3 linked regions of the Solanum lycopersicum genome follow. The main gene of each other region encodes a partner of the protein of the gene in region 2 in a complex. Links are inferred from orthologs where the notes say so. Each region holds a gene or a part of one and is shown on either strand. Other genes may lie near its edges. The genes, in order: general transcription factor IIH subunit 2, general transcription and DNA repair factor IIH subunit TFB2 and general transcription and DNA repair factor IIH subunit TFB4.

Region 1 (10,027 bases), on a different chromosome or scaffold from region 2:
TAATTGTTTGAAAAAGTATAACAATTTTGTATACTTTTGAATAAAAAGTTAGAATTTGTGGAATAAACAAGATAACATCGATAATTCATATTTAGAGTATAAAATTAGGTTGATATGAATTAGCAAATAGTTATACTTATATTTAGAAAGTAATGTACAAATTCTCTCAGTTTGTCGTCAAATGATCAAAGCAGGGACCATTTATTAGAAATAAAAGGAACAAACATATCATGTCATGATCTTGTCCCAAAACAAACTACTTTGTCCAAAATCAAAATACAGAAATGAACAACCAAAAGAGTTGGTCGTCTTTGAGCTTGAACTTCCATGGAGGATGAAGAGAAGGTGCTGCCTTGGAGTGAAATCCATCACATGCAGCAACCAAATTTGCATTTTGCATTTTTTAGATTCTCAAATTTGCAATTTTCTCTATGGTCCGAGAAATCGACCTCTCCATTGAAGGTAGTAGTGAGAAGAGGATAGAAGATAGTTCAAATGCCTCCAATATATAGACATAGATTGTAGTGGATCCGAATTAGGACAAATTTCATTGGAGACACTCATATAATCATGTAGAAGTGAAGAACCAACCTATAATCTATTCGAGTATAAATGCGAGATAATACTTGTAGAAACGTCATGATAACTATTTATTAATTTTATATTTATAATTAGTTGTTTAATTATTTGTACGTATAACCTTCAATGTCTTCTCTCGTTTTATGAAACAGATTATAAAACACCGTGTATCATTGTACAAAGCAAGTTCGATTAAGATTATTATGTTCGATCTTGAATGGTTGTTAAGTGTAGTGACCATATCGTAGAATATGGACATGTAAAAGATAATTCTTCGTAGTGTGAAATACATTAATTATATACTCCTTGAGTAGTTTAACAAATCAAGTCTTATAGATTAGTGGTTCAGATATGAAATATGTTATCAATTAAAGAAGAGATATCGATGTTCAATTTAAGGAGATTTATATATTGATATCGATAAACTTCTATCAATCGATAAAATTAAATTTATATAATTAAAAGATATATAATTTAAATTTATAACATTAAATTTACGTTGATGTAGTTAAATTAAATTTATTATAAATATATATAATTTTAATTAATATATTCGACCTCTTAAGGTGAGTTTATATTAAAATTGATATGTTTAATTATTATTTTATTTAAATAATATCAACTTCATTATGTCCATATTTATTTGGAATAAAATGTTTATAAATATAAATAATTATTTTAAAAAAGAATGATAATCTCTAAAAAAAAAAATATCAACTTCATTATGTCCATATTTATTTGGAATAAAATGTTTATAAATATAAATAATTATTTTAAAAAAGAATGATAATCTCTAAAAAAAAAACCTTTTAAGTTTTAAGTCTCTCTTTCCCTTCTAAACCTCTCTCACGCCCACCCATACTCGACCCAACCCCGACCGGCGCTGCCTCGATCAGCAGCAGCAGGAGGTCGCGCTACCTTCCCTGACTCGATCGTCAGCAAGTCGCAGCAGCAGCAGCAAACTTCGGCAGCAGCAACAGAAAACTCTGGTAGCAGCACAAACTCCGGCAGATTAGGTAATGTAATCAAGCTCTTCTATTGTATCTTTTTATAGGGTTGGATTATATTATTAGTAGTATGTATAACTGGCGTTTGAATAAAATCAAAAAATAAGTGTCATCAATAGGTTGGGTTGGACAGATTGAAGGGGTCATTTAATTGAGTTTGGTTGTTGTTCAATGTGGATCCTTCGATTGAGTTTATACACATTAAAATTTGAACACTTTAATGTGTTCAATTGAGTTTGGTTGTTGACATGTTCTCTTTGATTTACTGTCAAGTGCCAAACTTTCCCCATAAGGATGTAGATTTTGGCAAGTTGGACAGTCAATATATTGAAAACGGTAAGAGAATGTTAAGTGCATGTTGAATTTGTGTCTAAACCAGTATGCTGTTGTTACATATTATCTATGTTTCAGTTGCTCTAATAAACTAACCAATACAACACATTCCCATATCATCATATACAATTCTACCTTCCCAATATTGGACAGATATACCAATAACATGTGTATGCCTTACAATTTGATGTCAATATTGATTTATAATACTGATTGTACTTTAGAGATCTCATATATGTACAACTATGAACTGAAAACTTGTGTTTGTGCATGGAATAAAGGAGTCTGCAAATACTTCAAGGTGTTGTAAACTCAGACTAAAGCACTGAATGGATTTGACTACATACTTCAATTGCATTAGTATTGCTTCTAGTAAAGTATAGCATCCAGTTGAATCAACTACAGTCTAAATGTAATAATCTGAAATTTGATGCAATATGAAGAGACTAAAGTTACAACTACAGTTTGGTTGTTGTTTATATACATTAAAATTTGAACATTCTTGTTGGAATTCTTGGTTTCTTAACCCCGGACACAATCATGGTAACATATACATTACAATAACTAGTGGAAAAAAGAGAGGAAGTATTGAAAATAGGAGAAACCTATTTTGAGTTATCAAGAAAAAGAAAAAACAACACAAACTTGTTTACTAACTGTCAAACGCTAATAATCACTAAAATCTCTCTATAATGACCACTAAAGAAATTTTCAATTGTTTCTTTTCGTGGTAGGCAACTAAGGAAACTCAACGTCTAAAAAAGTTGATACAAGACTATATTGCTACTTTAATTATAAGGTTTGGTGTTTCTAAATTTCTAAAGTTCAAGTACAATTGTTTTTTATGATGTGTTTGTGTCCATCTAGTGTTGATATTAAGCTTTAATTTAAGAATAATGTGTTTGTTAAGCATAAGCACTAACATTAGTTGATTCTATTTTCTTTTTTTTTTGCAAGATCAGTTTGTATCCATCTAGTGTTGATCTCAAATTTTAATTTAGGAATAATGTGTTTGTTAAGCATAAGTACCGATATGATATTTTAAATATCAAATACAAAAAAATTAAAAGATATATCAATATACAATGATATCAAAATCATGATATTAAAAATTTTGATATAGTATGATATTTTGATATATACCATACCATGTAAACTCCTAATTTGCGCCTCAAAGCATTTCTTGAACACTCAAATACTTGTCACAAAAATGCCTTTGAAAACACTGATTTAAAGAAGATACCATGAAAAATTCAATTGGTCCATAAATTCTGTAAATTCCCAAATAAGCCTTTTGACCTCAAGATCCTCTCTATTCACTCTTATGATATAGACTAGTTACAAAGAGCCCGTTCAATTGTGCAAGCACAAATTAAATATACATAACTTTATTTATCTCAATAAATTTTTATGTGAGTTTTAAATGTTATAAGTTGTTTAATTGTTGTAATTTATAATTTTTTTTATGTAATTTACAAATAATATATATAAATTTGTCTCAGTTTATGTGGTACAAGTGAAATTTAAAGAGTCAATTGATTTAAATTTCAAATTATTAATTATTATCATCATTTATAATACTATGTCTTTTGTAATTTCTAAACACATAACATACGAAAAAGAAAAATAAAACAAATTGAAAACTTTAAATATAAATCGAGAAAATCTTTATTTATAGTACAATTTTTTAATACATAACATACTAAATAAATGAAAACAAAGAAAACACACTACATATAAATAGTAGAGGAAATTCAATGAGAGTGTAAAAGTCACAACTCAAGTACATAGGGTTCATCAAGAATTGGTTCAAAACAAAGTGCGGATTCACTCAATCCCACATCAATCTCTATCTTCTAACCTCCAAGGTATTTTTCTCTAGTAAGTTTCTCCGTACCCTTGTTTTTTTTGGTTGTTAATTGCAATTACTCAAAGAACTTTGAATTGTTATCAAAATATTGAAGTTGGGGAATTAATTTTTGTTTAGTTAGAGGAATCTTATTGTAAGTATGTTTTGTTGACTTGAGAAAATCATTGGGATGGTGAAAGTTTTGACTTTTATCTAGTAGGGGAAAGAGAGTTCCGAGAATATTTCTAATTTTATGAATGCGAGAATTAATCTGTTAGTGTTTCTTTGTTTACTTGTTAGAATGAAGAGCATTTTCAAATTCCTTTTATCAACGAAAACCTCTGTCTTTTGTAGTCTCAATTGTTTTTTTTTACGTCTAGTTTCCTTGTACAAATATTATATGCATTTTCTTTATCAATGAAGCTTCCTCTCTTCATTTTTCCAAATCGTATTTCTACATTAACACCTAGCTTCCTAGCATTAATTTTTACTTGTGTCACTTAGATTAATACAACTACTTGAATCTTTAATCATCTACATCAGTTAAAATTATCTAGCTTAAGCACTTAAATCCCACCTAGTTTGAATTTGTAGGGAACCTAGTTGTGAACCTTGTATGATGCCTATTACTTTTCTTTTGAGGTGATTTGAACTCTTAATGATCTCAGGTTGTGGAGACTAGTAAATTGAATTATTTGCAATTAGTTGTAGTAATAGGTTCCCTAATGCGCAAGAGGGGTGTTGGAATGAAGTGGATTGAGAACCCTAAGGTCGTTGCTTCAAATCCCAGTAGAGACAAAAAATAAGGTGATTTCATCCCATTTGTGGACGTTACCTAGTACCTCTTGGTAAGAGGTACATGTATCCCATGGAATTAATTGGCCCGGACACCACAATTATATTAAAAAAATTAGGGTGTTCTAACACACCTTAACCCAGTAGGTGATAACTCTTCTCTTTAGCTCATTAAAAGAGTTGTCACATGTTGAAGCCCGCTTTTGCGAGAAAATGGGGCGTGACACACTTAGGGGGAAAAGTGAAGCATAGAAATAGCAAAGGACTAGGTACATATTGGAAAATAGTGCATGTAGTAAGGATGTGTAATGCAAGGAACTCAGAACACCTACATACAGTATCTTGTACTAATACTGAGTTTGTACAATTAGTTTCTCAAGTATCTGGTTATCTTATTAAGAGTTGGTATTATATCTAACAGGGAAATGAACACGGAAGAAAAAAGATTTAATCAAGAAGAGGAGGATGAGGAAGAAAATGGGAGAGGTCGAGAAGCATGGGAAAGAACTTATGCAGATGAAAGATCATGGGAGTCTTTACAAGAGGATGAATCAGGACTCCTTCGTCCAATTGACAACAAAACTCTATCCCATGCTCAGTATCGACGACGTCTCCGCACTGCAACTGCTGCACGAATTCAGAAGGGTTTGATTCGGTACCTCTACATTATCATTGATTTCTCCAGGGTATGTAAAATCCTGTATGATTGCAAAATAACTGCAGTATTGTAATTGGTTACTGACATTTAAAGGTTAATTTTTTTTTTTTTTTGCAAAATATGAAACAATTATTTAAGCATCTATAGTTATCTGTTTGTAAATGAGTTATCTCCGGAAGAAGTTAATCAGGTCCAATTTCCCAGACAATCTGCTGATCTTCTTCTGATGCTAGCAAATTGTTTCTTATGAAGGAACACAACAGGGTCCTTTTTAAAGAACCAGCAGCTCTTTGTTTTATGGATTTCTATTTGCATCTAGGGCTGAAGATTTAGTGATTGCAACTGGTTGATTATGCTATAAGATATTGATAAAACTAAGCAATTGGGTCGTCTTCGATCAGTTTAATGAATATTCAAGTGTATACCTACTTTCTGTTTTGATGTCACCATATTTCTTTAAACCACGTTTTGAAATTCTAAAATTGTGAATTGAGTTTATAAGACAATTATTGCATTTTGAAAATGTCCCTTAATTGGGTTGTGCTTATCACTGCATTGGACGTTTTCTTTTATCATTGACAAGGTGCTTTAACAGACAATCTTAAACATTTGCATGTAAGCCTCTGGCTGATAGTTCTCCTTTCAAGATGTCAGCATCCTTTTCCGTGACATTTTCCTAGTTTTCTTTTTTTCGCATTGCTCGAAAGTTTTTGTGAGCATTGGTTGCATCTACTTGATACTTTTCCTACATGCTTATATTCCGCAACACCCACGCCAACTTGGAAAGCTAGAAGAAAAATCAAAATGCTTTGAATACTAGAAATCTCGACATAATAGTAGAGACTTTTAGCGTTCATTTCAATTAAGTCTGGATGACTTTAAAAATGACTTTTTGAAAGAGAGAGAGAGACAGTAATGTCTCATAATATCTTGGACTTTTACATCTTTTGAGTTTGTAATTGCTCACCTGAATTTTGAATTTTAGGCAGCTGCAGAAATGGATTATAAACCAAGCCGAATGGTTGTAGTTGCTAGACAAGTGGAGGCTTATATAAGAGAATTTTTTGACCAGAATCCCCTGAGTCAAATTGGCTTGGTGATCTTGAAAGATGGAGTAGCTCATTGCTTAACAGATCTTGGTGGCAGTCCCGAGGCTCATATCAAGGCATTGATGGGTAAATTGGGGACCTCTGGTGATGCATCCCTTCAGAATGGCCTAGATCTTGTGTGTGATCTCCTAAATCAAATCCCATCGTATGGTCATCGTGAAGCCCTTATCTTGTATTCAGCTCTTAGCACATGTGATCCGGGGGATATACTGGAAACCATCCAAAAATGCAAAGCGTCCAAGATAAGGTGCTCAGTAATTGGTCTCTCTGCAGAACTCTACATATGCAAGCATCTCTGCCAAGAGACTGGTGGAATGTATTTTGTTGCATTGGATGAGGTAAGGAATTGAGCTCTGAAGTAGTGGTAATACCAGAACTTGTGAAACAAAAACTAATAGAATAAGGAAATCTTTTGCTGGAAATTTAGGATAAATTTGGTTCTAATAGCCTACTATGTAAAATGTCTCATTGAATGATATGATTAATAATATGTGGCAAGCATAATATTGTTAAAACGTTTTATGATTTGATTCGTTGTTATTGCTCTGTCAGCCTCATTTAAAAGAGTTGGTATTGGAGCATGCCCCACCTCCTCCAGCTATTGCAGAGTTCGCTGTTGCAAATTTGATTAAGATGGGGTTCCCCCAAAGAACAGCAGAGGGTGTCATTTCAATTTGTTCATGTCATAAAGAGGCTAAAGTTGGTGGTGGATACACTTGTCCGAGATGCAAAGCGCGCATATGTGAGCTGCCTACTGAGTGTTGCATTTGCGGACTGACCCTTGTATCTTCTCCACATTTGGCAAGGTCATATCACCATCTCTTCCCAATAAGGCCATTTGATGACGTTTCACCCTCAGCTCTGAAAGATTTTCACAAGTTACCAAAGAATTGCTTTGGTTGCCAACTGAGTCTTCTAAATCCTGGTAAGAGCACTCTTCTTATTTACAAAATCGAAACTATCTTGAGGTAAAATATTTATGCCGAAAAACAAGGAAATCTGTCTTATTTTTTTACTCTTCAAGATTATTCTATAAATAACCACTGAAGTGAATCTGCGATCCAATGAAGCACTTGGTCACACAATATATTTGTAAAAACGACTTGCAATTTTTTGGTTCAGAATTGAAACTTCCAGTGGTAAAAAAGATTCATGCCAAAATGATGGAATATGTCTCTCTGTTTGCTGTCAAGACTGCATCGTAAGTAACCTTTAGAGTGAATCTGGGACCCAAAGAAGCACCTGAGCTGGTATTCCTTATCAAAATAAATAAATAAAAATGGAACACCTGAGATTTGCATTTTCTTTTGAAACTGGTAACATTGTATTCCTCAGCATCCTTAATGCTGGCCATCAGTTTTGCAGATATTATCATTATCTATGTATATGCTAGGATGTTCGATAATTTGATAATTTTCAAGTAGAGTAGTTTATCAGATTAACCGTGGGTACATAACCCTGACCTGAAGCATCTGCTGTTGCTAAGGATGTCAATGAAGTTCCTTTCTTTCTTTTTTTTTTTTGAATTGGTAAAAGTTGTGTTCATCAGCATTCAGGGCTATGCTGGCCTCCTCCAAAATTTACAAAAGAGTCATGGATAGTTACAAGAAATAATATAAAATCCACTAATTGGATTTCTTCTATATTCTGTTCTTTACGCCAAAAATCTAAAGTAGTATGAAGTTCCTTTCTTTAAGTTCATAGCTGCAGAGAACTGTAGAAGGCATTTACATAATTGTTTGTCATCTGAGATATCTTGTATGTGCATTTTTCCGATTTGTAAAGAACGAACGAAAGAAAAAACACGCACTAATCGTAACTGAGCTTTTGCTGAACTGAAGCAAAAGAAATGTCTCTAGTGTTCTACAGAAGAAACAAGATGTTTAGTTTCTAGAGCTTAAATTATTCACGTCCAAGATAATAAGTCTTTTGTGTTACAATTCTGTGCTTCTCGCTGGTTGTATCTAATTATGTCCTTTGAGGACTGTTTTGAGGCAAAACTTCAAAGCAATGTTGAAATTTGGTCTTTTAAGGAAGTAGCCTGTTGAACTAAGTGTTTGTATTCAGTCAGATTTTTTTTTTTTTGCCAAATTTCTTGTAACTTGTGATGATATTAGGAAATTATTCTGTAAAATGAGTTGTTCTTGGACCAAACATTAATTGGGATCATAAAATCTGGAAAGGAAGCAATTTGTCTCTTCTTAATGCAAGTCCTAATTCATAGACAACCACTTAAAGTTCCTGCGGCTTTTCATTTAGACACCTTAATTGAAGCTGTTACGCAGCAAACACCTAGGGTGTGTTCGGTATGATGGAAAGTGTTTTCTTAGAAAATGTTTTCTAGGAAAATAAGTGGACTTCTTACTTTTTTTTAGATGAAGTAATTGATTCAATTCATATCGTCAAAAAGATGCAAAGTAGTTACAGAAGAGTGAGTGTGTTCGGTACGCAGGCAGAATTTTTTATCCGAAAAGCATTTGTATATAATTTGAACAATACTATGAGAGGTGAAGGTGAAGGGTAGGGTGTGCGGGGTGGTGGGTATGGGGGCTACAAGGGTGATGCTGAAGATGAGGTGTGTTGGTAAGTAGGAAGGACACTATCAATGTGGAATCTCACTTGTGTAACTTGTTTACATTTTCCAAACAATGTGTTCGTCCATACCGAACAAACCCCCTAATGAGTAATGTATATCTAAAATGTGCCTATTGAACACGTCATGCTTAGCTAGTAAAAAATAAAATGTGTGAGCTTACATGTGAGGATGTGGCAAATTAGCAAATTGAACAAAACCACGTGACTTTAGAATCCAACTAATAAAAAAAGGAAAAAGAAAACACTAGTTTTTGTATTCAGCCTGAATGTTTTTTTTTTCCGCCAAAGTTCTACTCACTTTTTTCTGAATCAGTCGATAGTATTAATTGAATTAGAGCAAATTTCAATAGTTCTGAAACAAGCTTCCACCACATCAGAACTTACAAAAAAGAACAGGCACTACTACTATAGCAGAAATATATACTCTACAGGAACCAATTAATAATGATGATGGAGATGTATTGCGGCCTTTTCCTGTTCATCAACTCAAACCTCATGCTAATTACACCATAGTTTAACCACCACACCAAGCAGAATCCCATATCCTTTACCAACATTAACATAACTGCTCTTCTTTTCTTGACAGCAAGACTTTTTCAGACAATTCAAAACTCAGAACCAAACCTCCCCTCAACCCCCAAAACCACAAAAAGTCCTGTTCTGTCTCTTGAGAGCATCCCGACAACATCCATAGCAGTCACCCTCTTCCTACGAGCATGCTCAGTATAAGTAACAGAATCATGAATCACATTCTCCAAGAAGATCTGAGCACCCCCTAGTCTCCTCATAGATTAGCTCACTGATACACTTCACTGCCCCTCTACATGCCAAATGCCTAATGGCTGACTTTGTGATTCAGTGAATGTTATCACAGAGGACCTTACAGTGAGTGTTAGGAATGCGTTGGAAGTTATTAATTCAAGTATTTAATTATTTATTTAGTGGCTTTATTTATTATTCTAGAATAGGGTTTATACTTCATAGTTTTATAAGGATTAGGTTAAGTTATAGTTATTAGTTTGGAATAGGATTTAGGTCTCCTACTTTAATAAGAATTAGAATTACTACTGATGTAATAAGACTCCTATTTAAAGGGGCTTTG
Region 2 (10,713 bases):
AGCCAAGTCGATGGAGGAGTGGGTGCTTCCAGATGGATTCTCAAAGCATAAAGTTGCCATTGATAGATTGATACAGCTGAGAGTAATGACAGAAACATTTGACAGGTTATTGAGCAGATTCTTCTCTCTTGATAGCTGCTATATTTTTGTCTTGAATAACGCTGACCTATAACAACATTTGACACTTAAATTTTTATTTGGTTGTTATAAGCAAAAAAGAGATGCAAAAAATCTAATTTTTAATGTGAGAAAAGAGGATAAACTTGTTAAATTTAAAATCTCAGAAGTAATCATATTTCAGCAATTCAAAATTAAATAATGCTTGTACATTATCAATGAATTTTGACCCTTACAAGATGGAGTTTTTATCTCTAATGGAATACAAAGTCACTGCCTGTTGTTAAATTTCCTCCTCAACCGGAGGCGGATGCTATATAGAGGTCTGTATTTACTTTTCCCGCTTGATCCTATCTGGTTGTCATGTTTTTCACTTAGCACTTTAAATACACATGAGCAAAGTTAGAACTTTGGTCAAAATAAGCAAAAGCATGATTAAAGGGAATATCTTGAATTGTTAATGCTTGATCTTTCTTTTGTTTTTTCCTTTTAAGTTTTGCTCTTTATAAGCATTATAGAAGTTTTAGGTAGTAGAAATCATGTCTCAACTATTGGAATGACGAAATCTGGTCAGGGTGATCCACAATATCTTTGCATGTTGTTATAGTCAGTTTTTGATTGTTGAACGTTGCCATTCTCTTTGATTTCTTACAGGAAAAAGGAAGCCATGTATCAACTAAACCCAAAATTTCAATTTAATCTTCAGAAGCATATAGTCTATGGGTAAGCTTTATTATCTTATTTATGTTATTTTCTCTGTAGGTGTTAATGATCACTACTGGCCAGCCCTCTCTGAGATGGGTGATCTAAAAATGAAAGTACATGTACAGTTAGTAGAAGTACTAGTCAATGACATTTGGCGTCTAGACACCAGATTCATGGCCTATTAATCCCCGTCTCGAAGGAACGATTTCTTTACTCATTTGCATATTTGAATAAAGTTGGCCCAAATTGAGTTGAGTTAATATAGAGAATTGATGTAGGTGACTGCAACTAGTTTGGGATTGATCGATTGAGGCATAATTATTATTATTGTTGTTGTAGGTATATTCACACTTGTGTATATGTTCCATTTTATTCATCCTATATGACTTCTTGATTTGTCTTGCTAAATTTCTAATTGGGCTCAAGTTCAGAATTTGACCCTGATACATTTGACCCTCAGTTGACCTATAAGATGCTAAACTTGATACAGTAACTTGTTGTGGTAATACTTCTACATGATGCTGAAATATCTGTCTTAACCTTGGTCTTGTAATTGCACTATAATATGTGATTTCAATTACTGTAGTGGAGTCTTACCAAGGGAACCAATGCCTTCTAATATCACTGTGAGGCTTCCTAGCTTGGAGGAGTTAGAGGCATATGCTGTCGAACAATGGGAGGTATGACTTGCATTTTGTTAGTAGTTCTTATCCGTTGATTTTCCAGGAGCGTTCAGAATGTGTAATAATATGTTGTGAGACAATCTGCTTTTCTTTCGGTCTTGATCAAACTGCAGCCTGAATATAATTTTGGCAACTATTTTTATGACTTGCAACTGTCGCAACCAGTGCTTTCTGCTGAACCTTATAAGCTCCAGTGAAGCTGGAAAGACCACAAACATAAGCTCTTCGATGATGAAAATCTTCCAGCGTGGACTTTTAAGTCAGAGGTACGTCCACCTCAGTGTTATGGATATATATTTACTCGCAGAAAACATATGTATAGTTCTTTGTCCTCATGTGTATTTATGATTTTGTAATAATCGATATAATCTCCATGAGTTCATGCCTTCTTAAGCAGAGACGATAGAGAACCTCCAAGGTTGACTGAAAGTGGGTTCCAATTCTTGGTACGATTTACTGAATTATCTGAATCAATTAGTGTTCTTTTTTGTTGGGAAATTGTATTGACTGGTGGCATATTACAGCTAATGGACACAAATGCACAGCTTTGGTACATCATCAGGGAGTACATAACAAATGCTGAGGTATTGCTGACCACCTCCTTCTCTCCCTGCATGTGTGTGTATGTGTGTCTCAAGCTCCATTGGTTCATTGGGTGGTGTTGTAATTCAGTTACATTTGACATTTGCTTATCCCTCACTTTTGCGGCTAGTCTTCTGATAGACTTTGGAGATAGGTAGGGAGGAATTTTCAGAGATGCAGCTTCGGCCTTTGTAGAGCTTGCTATAATTATATCACCTACTCTGCCTCTCTAAGGTCGTCAAAGCGAAAGCATTCCCAAGCCTGAATAGAGGAAGAGAGTTGAGGGAAACCGGTGGCGAATGTAGCAATAGTCAAACTATTTTGAATACTGAAAAAATGTGCAGATTGGATACAGGCGTTTCATACAAGATCATATAGCTAACCCCAATTAGTTTGGGGATTGGAACCTAGTTGAGTTGAGCTTATTAGTTCCACCTTAGATTTTATCGTTGCTGATAACATATTTTAGGCACTTTTTCCTTGTTTCCTTACCTCTTTAAATTAGTTAATACAAGCAAGAATCAAGAAGATATTCTTTCTTTGATTTAAGATTTTGGTTGAGAAGATATTGTGCCTATGACCATTATTTGGATTGTCTAGTATGGACTTCTATTTGTATAACTTTTGGACAATTTAATGATATTAAATGATTACTCTGTATTTTTCATATTAATGCAGGAGCGAGGAGTGGATTCAGCAGATCTTATTGCATTTCTTTTGGAGCTAAGCTTTCATGTTACTGGCAAGGTATTATTAGACAGTTCTAGAGCTTCTTGAATTAAGTTTGTCCTGGAGCTGTAGTAATGATACCATCTTTTGAACTCTAAATGCTTGAATTTTAGTTAGTTCTGGTTCTGGAGCACTCAGATGTTTGGTTGAAAAGTGGTGAATTTGTTTTTGCAGAAAGTTTTGTACTTTGACTTTAAAAAACAATATTTGAAAAACTGAAAAATATTGTGACGAAGTCTTTCAACCATTTTCCCAACCACACAGTTGTAATCTTCATTTCTTCAGTATGCTCAAGTTTCGTATGTTTGTTGAATTTTCTTCTGATATAGGCATACAATACAAACACAATAACTGATCTCCAGAGAAGTATAATTAAGGACCTTTCAGATTTGGGATTGGTCAAGCTGCAGCAGGTGAATACTCCTTGTTGCCCCATCAATGAGCTCACGAGAGTGAAAAGATTTGTCTTTTTTATTATGTTCTTAATTACCCATTTGATGCTGTTTAGGGAAGGAAAGAGAGTTGGTTTATTCCGACCAAACTGGCGACCAACCTGTCAATTAGCTTAGCGGATACAACTACTAGGAAACAGGTATGCTGCACTCGCAAGTGTTCCCTAGAGTAGTTGGGTCTAGTTACACAGAAATCCAATTTATTTATTTGTTTTCTATCTTTGTTCTTACAGTTTTCTTATAAAGCAAGTGTGTACAGAAATTTTTGAATTTTATGCTTCCTGTCATCCAGATTTTTTTTGATAATGAAAAAAAATAAATAAAAAAATCTGGATGACAGGAAGCATAAAATTCTAAATTTCTGTATACACTTGCTTTATAAGAAAACCGTAAGAATAAAGATAGCTTAGTTTGAAACGAGTTCAATGATACCTTACTGACTGCAAATGCATCTTTGCCTTCCCACCCACACTCATCAGGGTTTTATCGTTATTGAAACAAACTTCAGACTGTATGCATATTCAACATCAAAATTGCACTGTGAGATCCTACGCCTTTTTGCAAGGTACCAAACGATTTGCTGCTGCTGCTTGTGTTTTTTTCTGTAGTTTGGTTGAGAAAAGAGATCATATGGAAAGAACAGGTGCTAACTCTCCTCTTGATAGCATTACCTGGACTCTGTTGCTACTTTTTGTTGGAATTAATACCATCAAATCTGACACTAGTCTGGTGCTTGCCAAGAAATGCATTACTTGTATCATTTGCGAGTTGAGATAAGAACTTGTCCAATTATTCATGGGTTATGCCTAATACTCTGTGTTTGGCTGTTGAGTGTATATTTTCTAGTAGTAGATTTCTTTCATCAACTTTTGTGGTTAGATTTCTAAGTAACAAATTTTAGCTGCAAATACAGGGTGGAATACCAGCTTCCAAATCTCATTGTTGGTGCTATTAATAAAGAGAGTTTATATAAAGCTTTTCAAAACGGCATTACTTCTGAGCAGGCAAGTTTCAGCTGCTATTTATTTATTGACCAGCATTGTCTTGTATCAGAGACAACTAACTAAAAAACTATCTAATAAAGCAACTGTATATGGAGTGCTTGCTATATTTGTTGAAGATTTTTTTTTTGATGATGTGTGGAATGCTTATATTTGTATAAAAGCAAAACGTTGACAAAGATTGATGATGTGGGACATTTTTGTTGGAAGTTCTTAGTAATTCTTCATCAGCTACTTATTGTGGTCTAATTGATAGATGTTGATTAATTGCACTCCTCTCAGAAAAGGTCCTTCTATAGTTTTGTTTCTGGTCCTTTAATCTACTTATCATGTTTAATAGTAGTTACACACCTTTCAAAATTAGCACACCCTTGAATGCATTAATGGAATTAGTGAGCCTATTGTGCTTCTGGTGCCAAAGTTCTTACTGCAGTACCGCACTTAAATATTTTGTATGAAGTAGAAAGAGTTAAATATGACATAATGGAAACTGTTGCTTGAGTTGTCTGGACTGGTTATATTTGAGTTCCAGTTATCCTATCCTTAGTTGTCAAAATACATTGACTTAGATGTCATGGTCCCCCCAAAAAGGAACAATCTGTCATATGGTGATTCGTCAGTCAAAAATGTTTCAAGTGATACTATGAAGTATTCTGTACGGATGTAATTATACAACACAAATGAGCAGCTACTCTACAATTTATTTTGCTTGTAGTTAAGTTTTGACTGCTGTTGTGATTTGAATGCATGGATTGCAGATAGTTTCTTTCCTTCAGCAGAATGCACATCCTAGGGTTGCCGAGAGAATACCATCTGTGCCGGAGAATGTTACTGATCAGGTTCCTTCACTATTTCTCATAGCGTTGAAACTGAAAGATAGCTTTAGAAACCAAATATTACTCTAACTGCACCACATTTAATTGACACTCCTGTAGAATTTGTTCTTGACTAGGCACACGTTGCCAAAATTATGGCGGACCAAAGTCTATTCAAACAATCCATTGACAGAGATATAACTTATGAAAAGATTTATTGGAAAATAAGTTCTTGTCCAACTAACTTATTCAACTGCCACTTTCTCATGCCACAGATTAGATTGTGGGAATCTGATCTGAATCGGGTTGAGATGACGCCAGCCCACTTCTACGATGAATTCCCTTCTAAAGTGGGTATCAAGCACCATGTTATTTGCATTGCAACCTAAACTTCGCTTTTTAATATGTTTGTTTGCGTAACATGATTGTGGTTGCTTACTTTTAGGATGTCTTTGAGGCTGCCTGTGATTTTGCCAGAGAATATGGAGGATTACTGTGGGAGGACTCTAAGCGCATGCGTCTCGTTGTTAAAGCTGATATTTTAGCCGAGATGAAGGAATTTCTTCGTCGTCAAAAGCAATAACTCTTCTTTGCATACTGTCTTCATTTAAATGAAGGGTTTCATCAGTTATGTCCATCTATATATTTATTCCCAACTTAACTTGTACATGAATTTTGTTGTGGGTGTATTGTATTTCATTGTGCTTCGATTTCCTTCTTTCGACACCTTGTGATGTTGTACTAATAATGGGACTACAAATCATCGTCAAAACTATTGATAGCCTAAAAGAGCCTTGTCAATCTGTTTGGGTTTACACAAACATAATATTATGTATTGCTATGACTATGATCTTTTATCTTTTCCAACTAGTTGTGGATATAAACATAATATCTACATAGAATCATTTTGTCAATTATACATCCCCATCTCTACTTTAAAATCTTGGGATGTTGTTATCATGAAAAATTTAAATTAGATTGTTCTTATCCTTGACCACATCTTTGGACAAAGATCCATTTTGGGTTTATATAAGCAAATCAAGCAACTCATAATTCAGTAGGTCCTCCAAAAATAAGCTCTTTCTTGGAAATTTCTTCTGAGCCTATCTGGGGAAATTTTTGCATATCTAGGCATGTCACCATCACTATTATTTCTTTTAAAAAAATCAACAATCTAAACAGTTATAAATCACATCAATATGCTTTCTAATGAACTCTTCCAAGCACCCTTAAAAACATAACAACAATTTACCTAGCAAGTGCTCTTCTATTTCCCCTCCTAAGTGAATGAAACAGCTCCTGTTTAAAATTCAAGATGGTAAAACTTGTAAAGAGTTACCTGCGATTATCCCTCAAGATCACAAACATAACAATAGGATTTATGGGCATTGCAATGCTCATCTATGGTGTATGGATGATCAGAGTTTGGCAGCGCGATGCTGCCAACTCACCCTCATCCCCTGATTATGCTCAATTTCCTTGGTGAGTTCGGTTATCTAACTTTCTTTTTTATTTTACAAATACAGTATAATTTTCCAACGAAGCTAACACTCACAGTGGCGAAACAATGACAGGTTTATCCATGCATTTCTTGGTGTTGGCACTGCTTTGTGTGCAATCACTTTCCTTGGTCATGTTGCAGCAAGCACTGCCAATTCCTATTGCCTCTCATTTGTATCCTTTTTTCTTTATATTTCTCATATATAAAATAGTCTTTGAGTAAATTTATTTTTGGTCCTAAATGAAACTGCATTGAGAGAAACAAAAATGGACCTTAACTATACTTATAGTATATGTTCTTCATATTTGTGCTTCTTTTAGCAGAGATTGCAATTACAGCTGATGTTTTCTTGAACTCTGATTGGGAGAAGGTATGCATCTTACATCTAAGTTATCTTTTATCATATTGTTATATTCAAAGTTATCTCTCTGTATTCTATTGATCAAGACATCAACAAAACAACCTTGTGTTGTAAAAATGGGAAAAATATAATTGAAGAAGAAATGACTTTGAGGCGCGAAAGAATAGACTTTTCTTAAAGAGATATTGCTTCATGTTCTTTCACGAACAGATGTTTTTGTTCAATTTAAAACCTCTAATATGTTACAGACTATATAACAATACCACCAACACATGTACCGGATAACTCTCTGTCCTGCCAAAGCTTGGACAATTGCTTCTCTCCAATGTTCTCACTGTGTTTTACCTGAATCAGGATTTGCCTGAAGATCCATCAGGAAGGTTTGATGATTTCAAGGATTTTGTGGACTCGAATAGCGATGTCTGCCAATGGATTACCCTGCTTTGTGTTCTAACACAGGTAAGAAATAAAAGCAACCCCACCTCCAAGAACTTCACTATGTTTTACTTGGCTCAAATTAGTTACATGATTCTTAATGCATAATAAGCAGGGATGTTGTATCTTATTGGCTACAATTCTAAGAACTCTTGGGCAAGTTAAGGAAAATAGTCATGAGTATGAAGGTGAATATGCAGAACCATCAGCTCCACTTCTTCGCCCTCCGCAACTGCCTCCAAATCCTCTGTATCCATATGTTATTGGTGAACCAGTTCATATTGAACCACATTCTGCCTACAAGAATGTTTGAGTTTTGGAAGACAATTGGTTTGATCCCTTTGTAAAACTATGAAATCTTGAAACCTCTCTTTTTGGCTTATTATGTTATTGAAGTCTGCAGAAGTTGAAGTGAATGAAGTTATCCTTTATGGAAAAATATGCTATGTAGCTTCTCCAATTGCTTAAGAATGAGCTTTGTTAATCAGAAACAGATGAGACCATTTTATGTATAATTAAGATTGTGAGTTTTGCAACTTTTATGTTTTTGAGTGGTATCATTTTTGTTTATTACAATGAACAATGATATTACATTGTTTATGCATGTTGAACTTCTTTGGACTTCTTCATATATTAAACTCTCCTAATGAAAATCCTTTGCGAACATTTTCATTTTCTGAACCATTTCTTATCCTAAGTAAAAATTTAACAGCACTATCTTACTTCAAATGCTTTGCAGAAAAAGGGAAAATTACAGATTGGAAACTAAATACATCATATATTATACATTCTTATAAATAGCAACCATACAACTCTGCACTTGAGAAAGCTCAAATGCTGGTATTCATGGCATACTTGAAGATCAGAAAACAAACAACAATTGTGTTTTCAAGAAGTAAAACTGGAACTGTACAGGCATGTACAAATTAGGAGATGCAATTAAAAAGCTCCATTTTTTTTTGGCTAATCTTATCTAACTTAGCTTCAACCCCTGCACCACAATGACTCGGTCGGGTTCTTCTAAATCAGGAAAGGTGATAAAGTAATCCACCTGCATTTCTAAATCTAGCGAGACCAATTACTTTATCTTTAGTATGATTCAATCCCCCAATGGAAGCATTGATCATCTACCTTATATGAGTATCATAGTGATCAAAAACATTATCTGGCACGATCAAGGGTAGCTTATCTATAAACATGAATAGCCGCCTCAGATTCTCCCTTGTTATCATTGACATGTCCACGATGTCTTTGTTGTCCATGTATACCCACAGATCACTGGAGTTAACCCTTTTAAGGCTATCGCGGCAAAAAGGGCAGGATTGTGACCTTGAACGCCTGCAATGCATTGTATGAGATAACTCTCAGTGTGAGTAGTTGTACGAGCAAAATTAGCTGTACAGAAAGGAGACATAATGCTGAATATACATATTTTGCAGAGTAATAAAGTATGACGCCCTAGTAGAAACAAGTGCAATACTGACCCAAAAAAGAAAGTATTTGACCACCACCAAGAGCTGCTATTCTCCCCAAAGTGGCCCTTAACGAGAAGATGGTACTACTAAATTCCATATATAGCTTGCCACAGGAACTTGATAATAACGAATACTTCCTGTTTAGGAGATTGCTACAGCTTATAATCAATTGAACATACTCAGAATGCAAAAATGCACCACAGTGCTTTTTCCCTTCCGTCCCTCTTAATAATTTTCCATTAGGTTGTAAGACACAACGGTAAAGTTCTCTCCATGTGATCTATAGGTCACACTTTGAGGCGTGGAAGCAGCCACTAATGTGTCCATTAATAGGTTGTCAACATAACACCCCTTGGAAGTGTGGCATTCCCCGTACCCTGCTAACGAAAGATGCTATGTGCACAAGGGCTGCTAAAGGTTGTAAGACGCGATTCCATCAATTTGGCGCCAGAATATAGTACTACCCCATTTCATTTCATTAGCTGAATAAGATATAGCAGGACCAAATTTACTTCACCCCAAATGGAGAGGCAACTTATATCCAGCAGCAACTTTATGCCTCCTCTAGTGCTTTAGAGGACCATGGGGCAACCTAGGACTGTAGAGATATCTTTACCTAATATTATTGTCAACTCCAAATGCGGTTAAATGGACGAAGCATATTAACATGGACTAAGAAATTAGTCCTAGCTGCAATGTTTGTGTGAATAGCCCCTACAATCTGCAGAATAGCGGCAAATCTATGTACCTGCAGGATCTCTATATTGTACAAAATCACGCAAAAAAACTTGGCAGGCTAGTTAGGAGGTGGAGGTCTGCCTTTTCGCAATTAATTCACCAATTTTTCATCTGACTATTTATTAGTGATGTTCCCCATGCACCCATGTACAGGGGGAAATTCTCCTAAAACATCCCGGATCAGTATGTTCAAATGATGACACTGAAACCCGGTACTATGGCGATAAAAAGAGCAGAGATGCACTCCAGCTTCTCAGACAATTCAGAGTTACTGATTAGCAGGAAAATAACACTCTGGGCTCTGGCTGTAACATGTTTCCTAAATACAGAGGGTTCAGATGATGACTGCTAGTTTATATAGAGCTTAACACTGATAATACTCACTCAATAAAATGAAATAATAGTAACAATTTAGGACAGTGCACTTCTCCTGCACATGCCCACTGCATCATAAAAGACACGAAAAAAATAAAGAAGAATGTAAGCAGACAAGCCTAAGCTATATAGCTATATCACTTGAAGTAGCTCCCTTTTACCATGTTCTGCTTAACTATACTGTGACACAGGGAAACTTGACACTATCTGAAGCATTTATCGCAGTTTATTAAATTGCCAACTACAAAAGGAAGGGGAGATACAGATGCAGCCATTTTCCTAAGTAAGTCATCTCTATAATGAATTTCAAAAACTAAGGTACAAACGGTCCAGCTTACTAAAAAGACTTTTGTATCATTAAGTTATGTGGCTAACATGCACACAAGAAAGTAAATACTGACCTACCCTTTAGCAACCCAGACCTAGCTATTAACTTGTTCCTGCCCTAGACGTCTTTAAATAGCTGGCCTGATAAATAGAGCTAGACTACCTAATAGAGGGACCACCCACAGAACCTCACACCAGGAAGCACTCGACAGCTGTTCTGTGAACATTCAAGTGTATGAAGGGGGTTAGAAAGAGTGCAAAGGAAATGTAGAGTTGGCGTGGGATGATAGAGATCTGAATATAGTAGTTAAACTTAACACACATCTTCTATCTCAGACAAACTGCAAAATTAAACATACCATTCACGATAGCATTTCAAACACAGGGCGTGATTGCATTTGGGAAGGACAATTTTGC
Region 3 (10,513 bases), on a different chromosome or scaffold from region 2:
TTTGATCTGCATTTTATGGCATGAACTTAAAAATTAGGATACCCAAACTCAATGAATTGAGTTATCAGCGGAGTGAGTGGTTGAAAAACAGTTAGGATGCTACTACAGATAAACTTCTACAATATTAAAATGGAATCAAGCAACCCTTTTTCCTGTGTCTTCGGTTTTTGTCTGAAATGTTCTCAGGAAACAAGAAAAGAATCCTTAAAATGTAATGACAAGTTATCCATTAGCACTTACTAGGTGAGTGATGTTCATGTATCTTCTCTCAAGAAATTCAGATAGTTAACATAGTGCAAGGTAGGTAACATTGCCTCAGCTTCTATGTTTTTCAATAGGACCTTTTAACTGCACCTATTATCCCTATAATTGCTGTGCAGAGTTCAACCTTTCCAGAAAACTAGCAGATATTATGTCGCAAAACAAATAAGTGAAAATCACATAACTAGCATACACATTATTATGTCCATGCCACCCTTGTCCTTGTAAATAATATGAAACTATAACCAATAACCAATACTTCTAGTTCCCTTCTCGTATTTGGTGGGCGGTCTAGAAGGTGAGAAGGCTAGAGATTTTGAATGAAAACATAAGTGTACATAGATTGAAAATATGTATTTATCTTTTAGCGTTAGTGTTAAAACCTTGATGTAATGAAGCTAGGGCATGTAAATCATGGCAACTCTCCCTATTAGAATATAAGAGTGCTGTTCATTAGAATACCTCAACTCCTTGTGTGTACAGCAATAGAACTCCTAACTGATCAAAAAGTAACCAGTACTGACAGTAACATTGACATGATCACAAGTTCATGTGAACTCTTTGGACGGAACATTATTCTTAATGCAGCATAATTAATGAAAAAAAGAGAAGTTCATCAATGAGACACTTCAATAAGTTTATAATGAATACTCACCCGCAAGTTGAGCATTTCTTGTGATGCTTGCAGAATATTGATAAACAAACAGAGCATATGAAACCCATGTCAATCGTGTTTTTATGGCAAAAGCACCTGAAAATTAGTCGCACAACATAATCAGATGAGCAGCTATACTTAATGGAATGTAAAGGGGTGAAGAGTACCCAATACTAATTGGGGGCTAAATCCAAGAATTTGTAAGAATAGACTGGAAATTGGAGCACAGATTTATTTGAGTCCAGATAGGAGGAAATTCAATAAATACTCTACTTTTGCTATTAGTAGAGAATAGGTCTCCTTGATAAACATTGTTTTCTTTTTTCAGGATAAGTATCCTATCAAAAGCTGCACTCTCAAAAGTTAGTTGCAAGTTCGTAACACTCGTAATGACTCAAAGCTGGGAGTTGGGAAAGATATGGTTAAGACAAAATTAACAGATGATACAACAACCTCAAATAAGAAGATCCAAGGAGAATTTCTGTCTGCCAAAAATACGAGTGGATGATGAAAGCTTTTGTCTAATTGAAGTAAAAAAAGGTATAATAGGAAAGAGCTTTCACAATGCAAGAGAAAAGGTGGTACAACCATTCTTAAATGACATTGAGCTAGATGGATAAATCACTTAAGCTTCGTAGGTAATTTGAGACGATTCAAGAAGAATGAGATAAGCTAACACAACGAACTTGAACATTGACAATACAAAAAGTTGAATACTACCATCAAAAAGAGTGCATAAAATATTAGTGAGGATACATACCAAATATTATATTACCAGTTCATCATATGTGACATAACTTGAATAATAGACACACTAATCACTTACGATGCACGGAAGTCAACTCCAACAGGTCTGGGAAGTTGCAAGAAGCTCCGAGAATGTAAATCAGTCGCAAAAACTGTCTGTATTTATTACAGTCTTGTCAGTATTTTCAAACGGAAAATTAGATCTCAAGACAAGACATTCTACAAATAAAACATCTCAAAAATAAAACAAGGCATTTAACCATCTTACAGATCACACCAGGTGAATGAAAGCACAGTACACCAACCGCATCAGACAGAAATATGCAACTTGTTGATGTGAAAGAACATCTTGAATAAGAAATCAATTTCAATATAACTTCTGGTGTAGATACTGTATTCTAGTCGTGGAAGTGGTTTTAGCAATGGGTCTATTGCATTCCATGAAACGTGAACGAAATGTTGAAAATAAGGTCATACAACAATCACATCTTCATTCATGATATTATTATCTCCTACTCACAGAGACAAAGCATGAGAAGTTCACTATAGAGGGCAAAAGGAGAAGCCATCGGACTGCGGCAGTCCAGAAGACATTTGGAGAAGATTTTCTAAGTCCACAAAGAGTACATTGGTACTTTCAGTCATAGCCTTTTGGTTGATCACTGTATCTCCAACACCAACAATAGTAGTACATATATTAAATATTTAATACCAGATTTAAAATAGGTCAAACTTTTGGAAGGTCTTTTTAGTGTAAGCTCCTTGGAAACAAAAATTGCATACACTAAACAAATCAAAGTATAGTGACTTGTTCAACATGCTTACACATCAGATAGAAACTAATGTCTGAAGGCAGCACTGGAGACAACCGTAGATGTTCAATGTTGGATCCATGCTATTGACAAGTTAAAATGCTAAGCTAGAGACAACTTAGTATTTTTTTTGACAAAGAGAGACAACTTAGTATTAATAATTTTAATAACACTTACAGAGAGATATTGAAACAGTCCATCTGATACTTGGGGTTTCAAATATACACCACCAGTTATGTAAGAAGCCTGTTCCCAGATAGATATGCACCATAAGATCAGTGAGCCAGAAAATAACTCATGCTGAGAAGGAATAGATTTTCAACCAGAACTTTCAGGTATAGAAATGCTACCTGCTGAAGAAAAGCAGAATGCTGAGATCCTATTACACATGAATCAATGGGTACCTGCAATAAAAACGCATTGCATTTCTTAGAGTAGGATCACAATATGGAAATCTAAGTCCCGATCCCTAATTTTGAAAATTCTACATTTATGAAGACATGTGACAACTTTCTAATTAATCAAGAAGGAAAATTGAAGGAAAGAATTGTTAAATCCTATATACCATTGAACGTTGAGCTGAGAAAATTGAATTCATGACTGCAACATATCTGCAAAAAAAGAACATGTTTCAGCAGAGAACCTAACAATGAGAAGATTGTAGAAGCTGTGAAGATCCAACATACTGTCCCGGCCCATCTGGAGATCCATGCAGACACAATATCTGCCATAATTTCAAGCACATTTTCTTAGCATCAATATTCATATCCAACATAACAAAAACGGATCAAATTTTAAAGTATAAAACAAGAGAAGACAGATTTTTTTTTCCTAACAACTACCTTACTGATAAATGATCAAATTAACAAACACAAAAATGATGTAGTAATATCTGATAATATCACATTAAGAAATTGCCAATGAAATGGGACCAGAAATGGCATTTCATCGGGAATGCTAGTTTTTTCTTTTCTTGATAAGGATGGGAATGGTAGTTTCACTATACCATTGGATAAAAATTGCAGTACAAATAAATCAGGGCACATTGAAGTTTAATTGATGGTTTTGTTTAAGGTACATAAAACATAGAATAACTTAAAGTATTACCTCACCAAACCCCCTTAAATGCACCTTTGGGGTTAAGAAACACTATCAGAATTAACATGAAACGTAAAAGGCCAAAGAAATCACTGGAAAAAACTCGAAGTTCTTTTTCCCCTTGGACGAGAGATATTTCCATGGATAAGGTATTTGGCATAATAACATGTTATGCTTGTAAATGCTAAAGCTTACGATCCCAAATGGATCGACCAGGAAAATTTCACATAAGCATAAAATCTATAAATGTAACTGGATAAACAAAATAATACAAGTAGAAATTCTCATAACAAATTCCATCAATTCAAAATCCCAGAAGAACCCATTTTCAGTTTCTTGTAAAATAAGGAACTTACCCGAGGTTGTGGATGAAGAGGCCCTGAACGAAATACCCGTTGAATGTCTAACAGTGCACACAGGTCAAGAGAAACACTTCCTCTAAACAAACGTGAATGCAAAGCTATGCACAATAACAAATAAAAACCAGTGGCAGATATAGCTAATAGCTACGGGTTCAACCAAACTCAGTATTTTCAAATACGGAACATGAATACACAAGTAAGAAAAACTAAAATCTAACCAAAAAGATTAGATTTCGTATCTAGAATTTCAACAGTCAATAAATTCAGTGCTAAGAGCTTCAAAGAATAAACCTAGCAAGTCCAAATTTTGGTTCTGCATCTCAATAAAAATCATTAAAATTTCACTTCAATAAGAATATAAAAAAAACCAACAGACATGAACTGATTGAGGATACAGCACAAAGCCATAGAAAGTGCACCAGAAAGCAGCGAAAACCCAACTCCATCAACAGAGTCTTCTTGACTCAAGGACTCATCTTTATCCACAAAATCCTCCAGTTTCTCCAACAAACACTCAGCTCTTTGCATTGACGAGGTAGACGAATCGAATACATAATCACATGAATTGTACCCAGTTGCAATCACAACTACTTGGTTCATCTGATTCAGTAAAAGTATCGAATTCAAGAAAGCAAGAACCTGCATTTCCCCCATACATTCCAGCATCAAAATTCAACAAATGGAGAACACAAAACTATTCATTTTTTTTTAAAAAAAAAAACAAATTTTGGGTTTTAGGGGTCTTTACGTGTGATATGAATTTAGGGAATGTGAAGGCAGTGTTCTTCATTGAGCTCCAGAAGTAGGGATTTGTATCAACCAGAACCATCAATAGGCTCACATCGTCTGAAAGTATTCAAAAGAGATTAATTTTAACACATTTTCCTCTTATTCCACTAACATGTACTTATTGCATACTTCAGCTACACAGACAGAGAAGGAGACAGACCTGCGTAAAGCTTTGATGAAACCGGTGTCATGGCCGCCGGTGGAATAAACCTTAATTCACCGGTCAGGTGTAGAGAGCGTCGCCGATGCAATATACTGTCGGGCTTTGCCTTTTTACTTATATAATGCTTATTTTTATTGAATCATAACAGAAAAAGACTTCGATAATTAATTGTTAATAAAAAAAAACATCGTTATCATAACAAAAAGACAGTTTGGCCGAGTGGTCTAAGGCGCCAGATTTAGGCTCTGGTCCGAAAGGGCGTGGGTTCAAATCCCACAGCTGTCAATTTTTTTTACATATTATTTTAATTTTCCCTAAACCCAAACTTTTTACTTTATTATTTCTTATTTTAATTTTCCCCTAAAATCCAAATTATTATTTTTATTTTTTTAAAAAAAAATCCCTTTATTTTTAATTCTCTATTTTAATTTTCCCTACCTAGGAGTACTTATTATTTTTAGGAAAATTAAATACACAACTTATTTTATCACATTATTTAAAACTTTTACTATTTGAAAAAATTATAACTAGTCGAATAAATCACTTTGCGTGATATATGAGGATGTGAGCAATGTATCAGATAATCGAGATGCAACATATCTGAAACATAGATACGATGTATCGAAATGCTTTGGAATGTATTCGGATTCCACTATACTTAGGGAATTTTAGTAATTTGAATATAGTAAGAATGAAATATAATTAGCTATTGACATTATATAATTTGCGTAAAAAATATAATTTTTTTTTATTTTCCTCTAACCCAAATTAGAAGTTTCTTCGTTCCTTATTTTTTAAAAAATATAACTTTGTATAAAAACTATTTATGTTGATAACAAAGGGGTGCTAGGTTAGCAATCTTTAACATTGTTGAGACATAAACCCCAAGACTTTACACAAACACTCTGTTCAATCAAGAAAAACACAATACAATGGGTTCGAAACCTTGCTTCATTGATAAACCAGTAGTAAGTACAAACTTTTTTTTTTTCGATTTCTTGTGCCAGATTATAGTGTATAAATTGTTTGATGCAAAAAAGATTGTATTTTTGGTTTTGATTAGGTTCCTGGTGATGTTGTTTTAGATCTTTCCAGCATGACTAACCAAACGATTAAACTGGGTGGCGGCCTCCAACAGGTTTTTCCTCTCAGAGCTTTGATTTCTGTCTCATGGGTTTATAGATTTTTGTTTGTGGCTCTTGTATATACAAATATTAGCTTAAAAAAAGGTTCTTTTTATGTTTTATACACTGTTCTTGCTTTTTTTTTCTTTCTGGTAAGTGAGTTGGAATTTTGTTGTTCAGAGCACCAAGAAAGTTCCTTCTCACATTCAGGGAATACATTAATTCTCTCACTGATTTTGGATTATTACAATTTACTTGTTTGATACACCAAGAACTCAACATTTGTAGGCACATAGTTCTTGCTATTTTGAAAAAAAAATTTGTTCTTTTTCTCTCATTCTATATGTATCAAAAAGAGACTTAAAGCTAATGTATTCAAAGCTAGCTTTTCTTGCACTTTACCTGTATATGGTTATTTTCCTCTGTGGATGATAGTACTCTATTCAGCATTATACTTACTGTGGCTCTAAGTATAAGGAGGCAATGCATCAAAAGTTTATAATTTCTAACTGCCTTCAAGATAAATATATATGAGGTTCTATACATATTTTTCCCGTTTTGACAGGATCATGATGCTGTAACTGTCGTCAAAGCAGGTATTTTGAGATTTTCAAAGCCAAACAAGTACTGGATTGAAAGCTCACACAAAAGAGTGAGTGGTGCTATCTTTCTAGAATTATCCAAGTATCACTTCTGCTGTTATTTTTTTGTAGATTTTATTGGAAAATTCCAGTTTTGTTGCTTTTTACAGGTTGTTGGCTAATATTTTAATACGTTTAAAGTAACCTGAAACTATTTCTTTAACTCAGCATCTTCTCATGATTGAAACAGAGATAGTAAACTGCACTTTGGATTTTCTCACAGTGAAACTCTAAGGGAATGTATATGAAATTAAATAAAGCAGCATGTATTCACTGTTTAGGTTGAAATTTTGATTCACTGCTAGAATGAATGAGCCAATGTGCGTTATGGTGGATCTGCAAACTTTATATGTCCTCAACTATTGCACAAGTGAGTTAATGCTACTATATTAGAGAGTTAAAGGAAGATATCCAATTCAGAGTTGCAGAGGTCCTTTATGTTTTTTCTTTTGCTTAGTTAACTCGGCAAAAAACTTATAAAGGGAAAAAAGTATGAAATTACAAGGTTAAATGTATTGTTTTGAAATATGGACTAACAAGGGAGCTATAGTACTACCTTATCAAATAGGAGCCAAGTACTAATGATTCCATCAGTGACTACTCAATTCCTAGATTTAACCCTGCGATACAACTATTTTAGAAATAACCTTGTTCGGTGATAAAAATTAGGATAGTCTCTTCTGGTTGAATTGAAGTGTTGAACTTTTTTCTTTAAAGAATATCAAATTGAACTTTCTTTGATTTGCTGATCCGCTGTTATTTCTTTACAGTATATACCTACCGTGGGGGATGCTGTCCTTGGAATTGTGGTGGACAAAAGAGCAGATGTAAGCATTCTTCAGTATTTCAAAACTGTTACTTGTTCTTCTTATAATAAGCAATGCCACTGTTTATTGTGATAACCTCCTTATTTCGGTTTCTGGTGAATAGTTATGTCTACTTTGCTACTAGCCGTGCCCTTAATTCTACTTTCTGCAGCATGAACTCTCTAACAGCTGCACTTTTAAGTAATTGAGTATGTTATGCATTTAAGAACTAAATTTTTTCAGTATCTCACTATCCTTTTCTTTTTAATGAGTTTAAAAGTCAAAGCCAAGATGCTGATATTCCTTTTTTGATATATAACGACCTTAACTTATTAATCTCATCATCTTTTGATGAGTTTCCTTTGATGCTGTCAAACTATCCACTTCTTCTATTTGCTTTATACGAAAATAGTATAATTGGTGCTTTAACTGGGAGTTTCGTGCTGCTCTGATCTTTTGCTTTAGTGTGTCTTTCTGCTTCCTGTTTTTGATCAATCAGATCTATGGTGCACTTATCTAAGACATAATAAGCATCCAATATATGTTGCTCCTAATATTTGAGGGGATTTATGTGAGTTGTTGACTACTTAGTTTCATTTGTTACAGTTTGGTTGAAGTCAACTGTAGGGTTTTAGGTTCTAAACCACCATGTCTCTGGTAAGGACATATCAGCTGTAGTTGTGTAAAAAGGGAAGGGTAGTGATGCAAGTCTGCTGGGAAATAAGTTCTTTTTAGAGTATGTGTTATTGACCATATAGAATGACATTCATATTAATGTGGTGGCGAGTGGTGACTTATGTTGATCATTCATTATACAAAATTACATTCATTGAGGTAAAAAAGTTGGTCCAAAAAATTTCTATCTGTTTCTAGTACTTATGATGAGAGATTTCCTGTGTTTGTCTATTTTTCTGTCATTTTCATGAACACATCAAGATTTGTCACAAATGTAATGATGGTCCATGTAGCACGCATAAAATCTAAAAGTTCATTGATTCTTATCTGAAACTGCAGATTATGTCATTAAGATCTATGATTTTTCCTTATGAGCTTCAAATTCACTTTTGAGTTTTCTGGCAGAGCTTTTATGTGGACATAAAAGGGCCAATGGTGGCGTTCTTGCCAGTGCTAGCATTTGAAGGAGGGACTAGGAGAAACATACCCAAATTTGAGGTGATAATCCTAAGTTTCATGATATTTGAGCTCATATTCTTTGTTCTTTTCTCATCTTATGTTTCATTATGATAGAAAATACTTGTACCAAAATGAAGATATTGTTTTGCAATTTTTATCTGATTATAAATTTTTACTCTATGAATCTTGATCATTTGAAATTGAGTGACAGCTTTATTATTTAACTCAAATGGAGATAGATGTATTGGAAGACTCCATGTAAATGGGGCAAACTCTCCTCTCCTCTAATTGAGAAGTTTAATTTTATTAATTGCTGGTTGCTTGTTCGAGAATTGCTTGATGTGCCCTCTTCAATTAGAAGATATCATATTAGTTTGTTGATAGCAATTTAATTTACCCCCTCCCCCCCTTCTTTTTGTAAAATAAGATTCAGAATTTAAGGGGAGAAATTGTGATAAATACCTCTGGGAGCAGTTCTTTCCTTCATGTGCAAGCAAATTCCTCAACTACTTGGCTCATAAGTCAGTGCTTGTGCCTCTTAGAAACTGGCCTCAAATTGCAAGTTCATTAGTATAGATAGTTTTATGAGTTATTCACACCCACTTAGAGCTTTTCATGTTTCATAGGGGGTGAGGCAGAGTATTTGCTTGAAAATATGCCAGCACCGATGAGCCATAGGATTCTTCTTAATCAATTTTTTTTAATGCACCATGTGTATATCAATGACTATTTTCTGATGACCTGTCTTGGAATTTCAGGTAGGTACTCTAATTTATACTCGTATTGTCAAGGCCAACCCAGGAATAAACCCAGAGTTATCGTGCATGGATGGTTGGTACTTCCTCTAAGTTGCAAAGAATTTCTTGAATGCCCTAATCTATCTGCTGTTACTCTTGATTTTAATAAAATCATCTTATTCGATACAGCTTCTGGAAAAGCTGCCGAGTTTGGACCCCTTAAAGATGGCTATATGTTTGAATCATCAACTGGTTTGTCACGGATGTAAGTTTCTATTTTGGCTTTCACTTGCAACAGTGAAATCTTTGGTTTAGATTTTACTGTAACCTTAACTTGCTCATCAGAATAGAAACAAGAAAAAGGGTTGAAGGTCTTGTTGCATGCTATTCCCTTAGCTACATGTTCATCTTTTTGTATTTTTTTCCTAGGCTGCTGAGCTCACCAACATGTCCAGTTCTTGAAGGTCTTGGAAAGAAGCTAGCTTTTGAGATAGCTGTTGGTTTAAACGGCCGTGTGTGGGTATATATAAATCTGTTCATTCTCTATTTATTGTGGTTGATCCGTCCATCTCTTTCTAAGTCTCAAATACTTTTGCCTCTATTCTCAATTTAGATACTTGTTCTGCTGTAATAGGTAAATGCTGAGCACCAATCGTCAATCATCCTTGCTGCGAATGCAATAATGAACTCTGAGTCCTTGACCTCAGTGCAACAAAAGATTATGGTGGAGAAGCTGCTTGACAGAGTAAATTGAACTGGATTTAGCATTTCGACCACATAGCCTCTAGCAGCCAAATGATGTGATGGATAATGTGATTGTAACCAGACCGCGGAACATAAATGTTACACAAGCTTCTTCCTCATGGACTTTTAGCCTGCGGCTTTCCAGTTCATCACTCATGAAACCGTCCTGCTTGTTTATGTGATTCTTGTGAGAGTATAGAGAAAAGATGTAACATTATTAGCAGAATTGATTGTCCATGCAAACATTTTGTCCATGGTGTTGTATTTATTCTTCAAATCAATCTTCTGTCCCTCTAAACAGATTTACATTTTTCGGCTTATCAGTCTCTCTTTTTTCTATTGTGGTTTCTGTGTCAGCCTGCATGGACCTTGACTCGTTTAACAAGGTACTTGTTACCTTCACCAACTCGGAGAAAGCGGAGCAAGAATATATTTGATGA

The links.
Region 1: general transcription and DNA repair factor IIH subunit TFB2 (region 2) and general transcription factor IIH subunit 2 share a complex: the UniProt entries of both Arabidopsis thaliana proteins name them as parts of the 7-subunit TFIIH core complex. The link is inferred for Solanum lycopersicum from reciprocal best matches to the Arabidopsis thaliana genes AT4G17020 and GTF2H2.
Region 3: general transcription and DNA repair factor IIH subunit TFB2 (region 2) and general transcription and DNA repair factor IIH subunit TFB4 share a complex: the UniProt entries of both Arabidopsis thaliana proteins name them as parts of the 7-subunit TFIIH core complex. The link is inferred for Solanum lycopersicum from reciprocal best matches to the Arabidopsis thaliana genes AT4G17020 and AT1G18340.

What each region holds. Positions count from the first base shown.
Region 1 is NC_090803.1:54,336,820-54,346,846, reverse strand, and holds the start of general transcription factor IIH subunit 2, read left to right. Parts: upstream 1-1,360; 5' UTR 1,361-1,595; intron 1,596-2,653; exon of another isoform or gene 2,654-2,718; intron 2,719-4,984; 5' UTR 4,985-4,988; coding exon 4,989-5,249; intron 5,250-6,206; coding exon 6,207-6,668; intron 6,669-6,882; coding exon 6,883-7,255; intron 7,256-10,027. UniProt on the Arabidopsis thaliana protein: Component of the general transcription and DNA repair factor IIH (TFIIH) core complex, which is involved in general and transcription-coupled nucleotide excision repair (NER) of damaged DNA and, when complexed to CAK, in RNA transcription by RNA polymerase II.
Region 2 is NC_090801.1:59,308,607-59,319,319, forward strand, and holds the end of general transcription and DNA repair factor IIH subunit TFB2, read left to right. Parts: coding exon 1-105; intron 106-771; coding exon 772-840; intron 841-1,408; coding exon 1,409-1,502; intron 1,503-1,670; coding exon 1,671-1,771; intron 1,772-1,902; coding exon 1,903-1,951; intron 1,952-2,029; coding exon 2,030-2,089; intron 2,090-2,765; coding exon 2,766-2,834; intron 2,835-3,145; coding exon 3,146-3,229; intron 3,230-3,324; coding exon 3,325-3,408; intron 3,409-3,747; coding exon 3,748-3,833; exon of another isoform or gene 3,834-4,181; coding exon 4,182-4,272; intron 4,273-5,027; coding exon 5,028-5,108; intron 5,109-5,204; exon of another isoform or gene 5,205-5,221; coding exon 5,222-5,434; intron 5,435-5,529; coding exon 5,530-5,667; 3' UTR 5,668-5,885; downstream 5,886-10,713. Other genes in the region: tetraspanin-19, read left to right, coding at 6,400-6,566, 6,659-6,758, 6,875-6,955, 7,301-7,405, 7,497-7,694; abscisic acid-insensitive RING protein 4-like, read right to left, coding at 8,610-8,719, 8,866-8,993, 10,656-10,713. UniProt on the Arabidopsis thaliana protein: Component of the general transcription and DNA repair factor IIH (TFIIH) core complex, which is involved in general and transcription-coupled nucleotide excision repair (NER) of damaged DNA and, when complexed to CAK, in RNA transcription by RNA polymerase II.
Region 3 is NC_090805.1:46,429,433-46,439,945, forward strand, and holds the start of general transcription and DNA repair factor IIH subunit TFB4, read right to left. Parts: upstream 5,000-10,513; 5' UTR 4,916-4,999; coding exon 4,885-4,915; intron 4,782-4,884; coding exon 4,684-4,781; intron 4,575-4,683; coding exon 4,331-4,574; intron 3,977-4,330; coding exon 3,930-3,976; intron 3,200-3,929; coding exon 3,162-3,199; intron 3,087-3,161; coding exon 3,041-3,086; intron 2,880-3,040; coding exon 2,826-2,879; intron 2,722-2,825; coding exon 2,653-2,721; intron 1,820-2,652; coding exon 1,743-1,819; intron 1,013-1,742; coding exon 917-1,012; intron 7-916; coding exon 1-6. Other genes in the region: uncharacterized protein, read left to right, coding at 5,820-5,855, 5,951-6,025, 6,577-6,663, 7,423-7,479, 8,539-8,631, 9,351-9,423, 9,519-9,594, 9,759-9,849 and 1 more. UniProt on the Arabidopsis thaliana protein: Component of the general transcription and DNA repair factor IIH (TFIIH) core complex, which is involved in general and transcription-coupled nucleotide excision repair (NER) of damaged DNA and, when complexed to CAK, in RNA transcription by RNA polymerase II.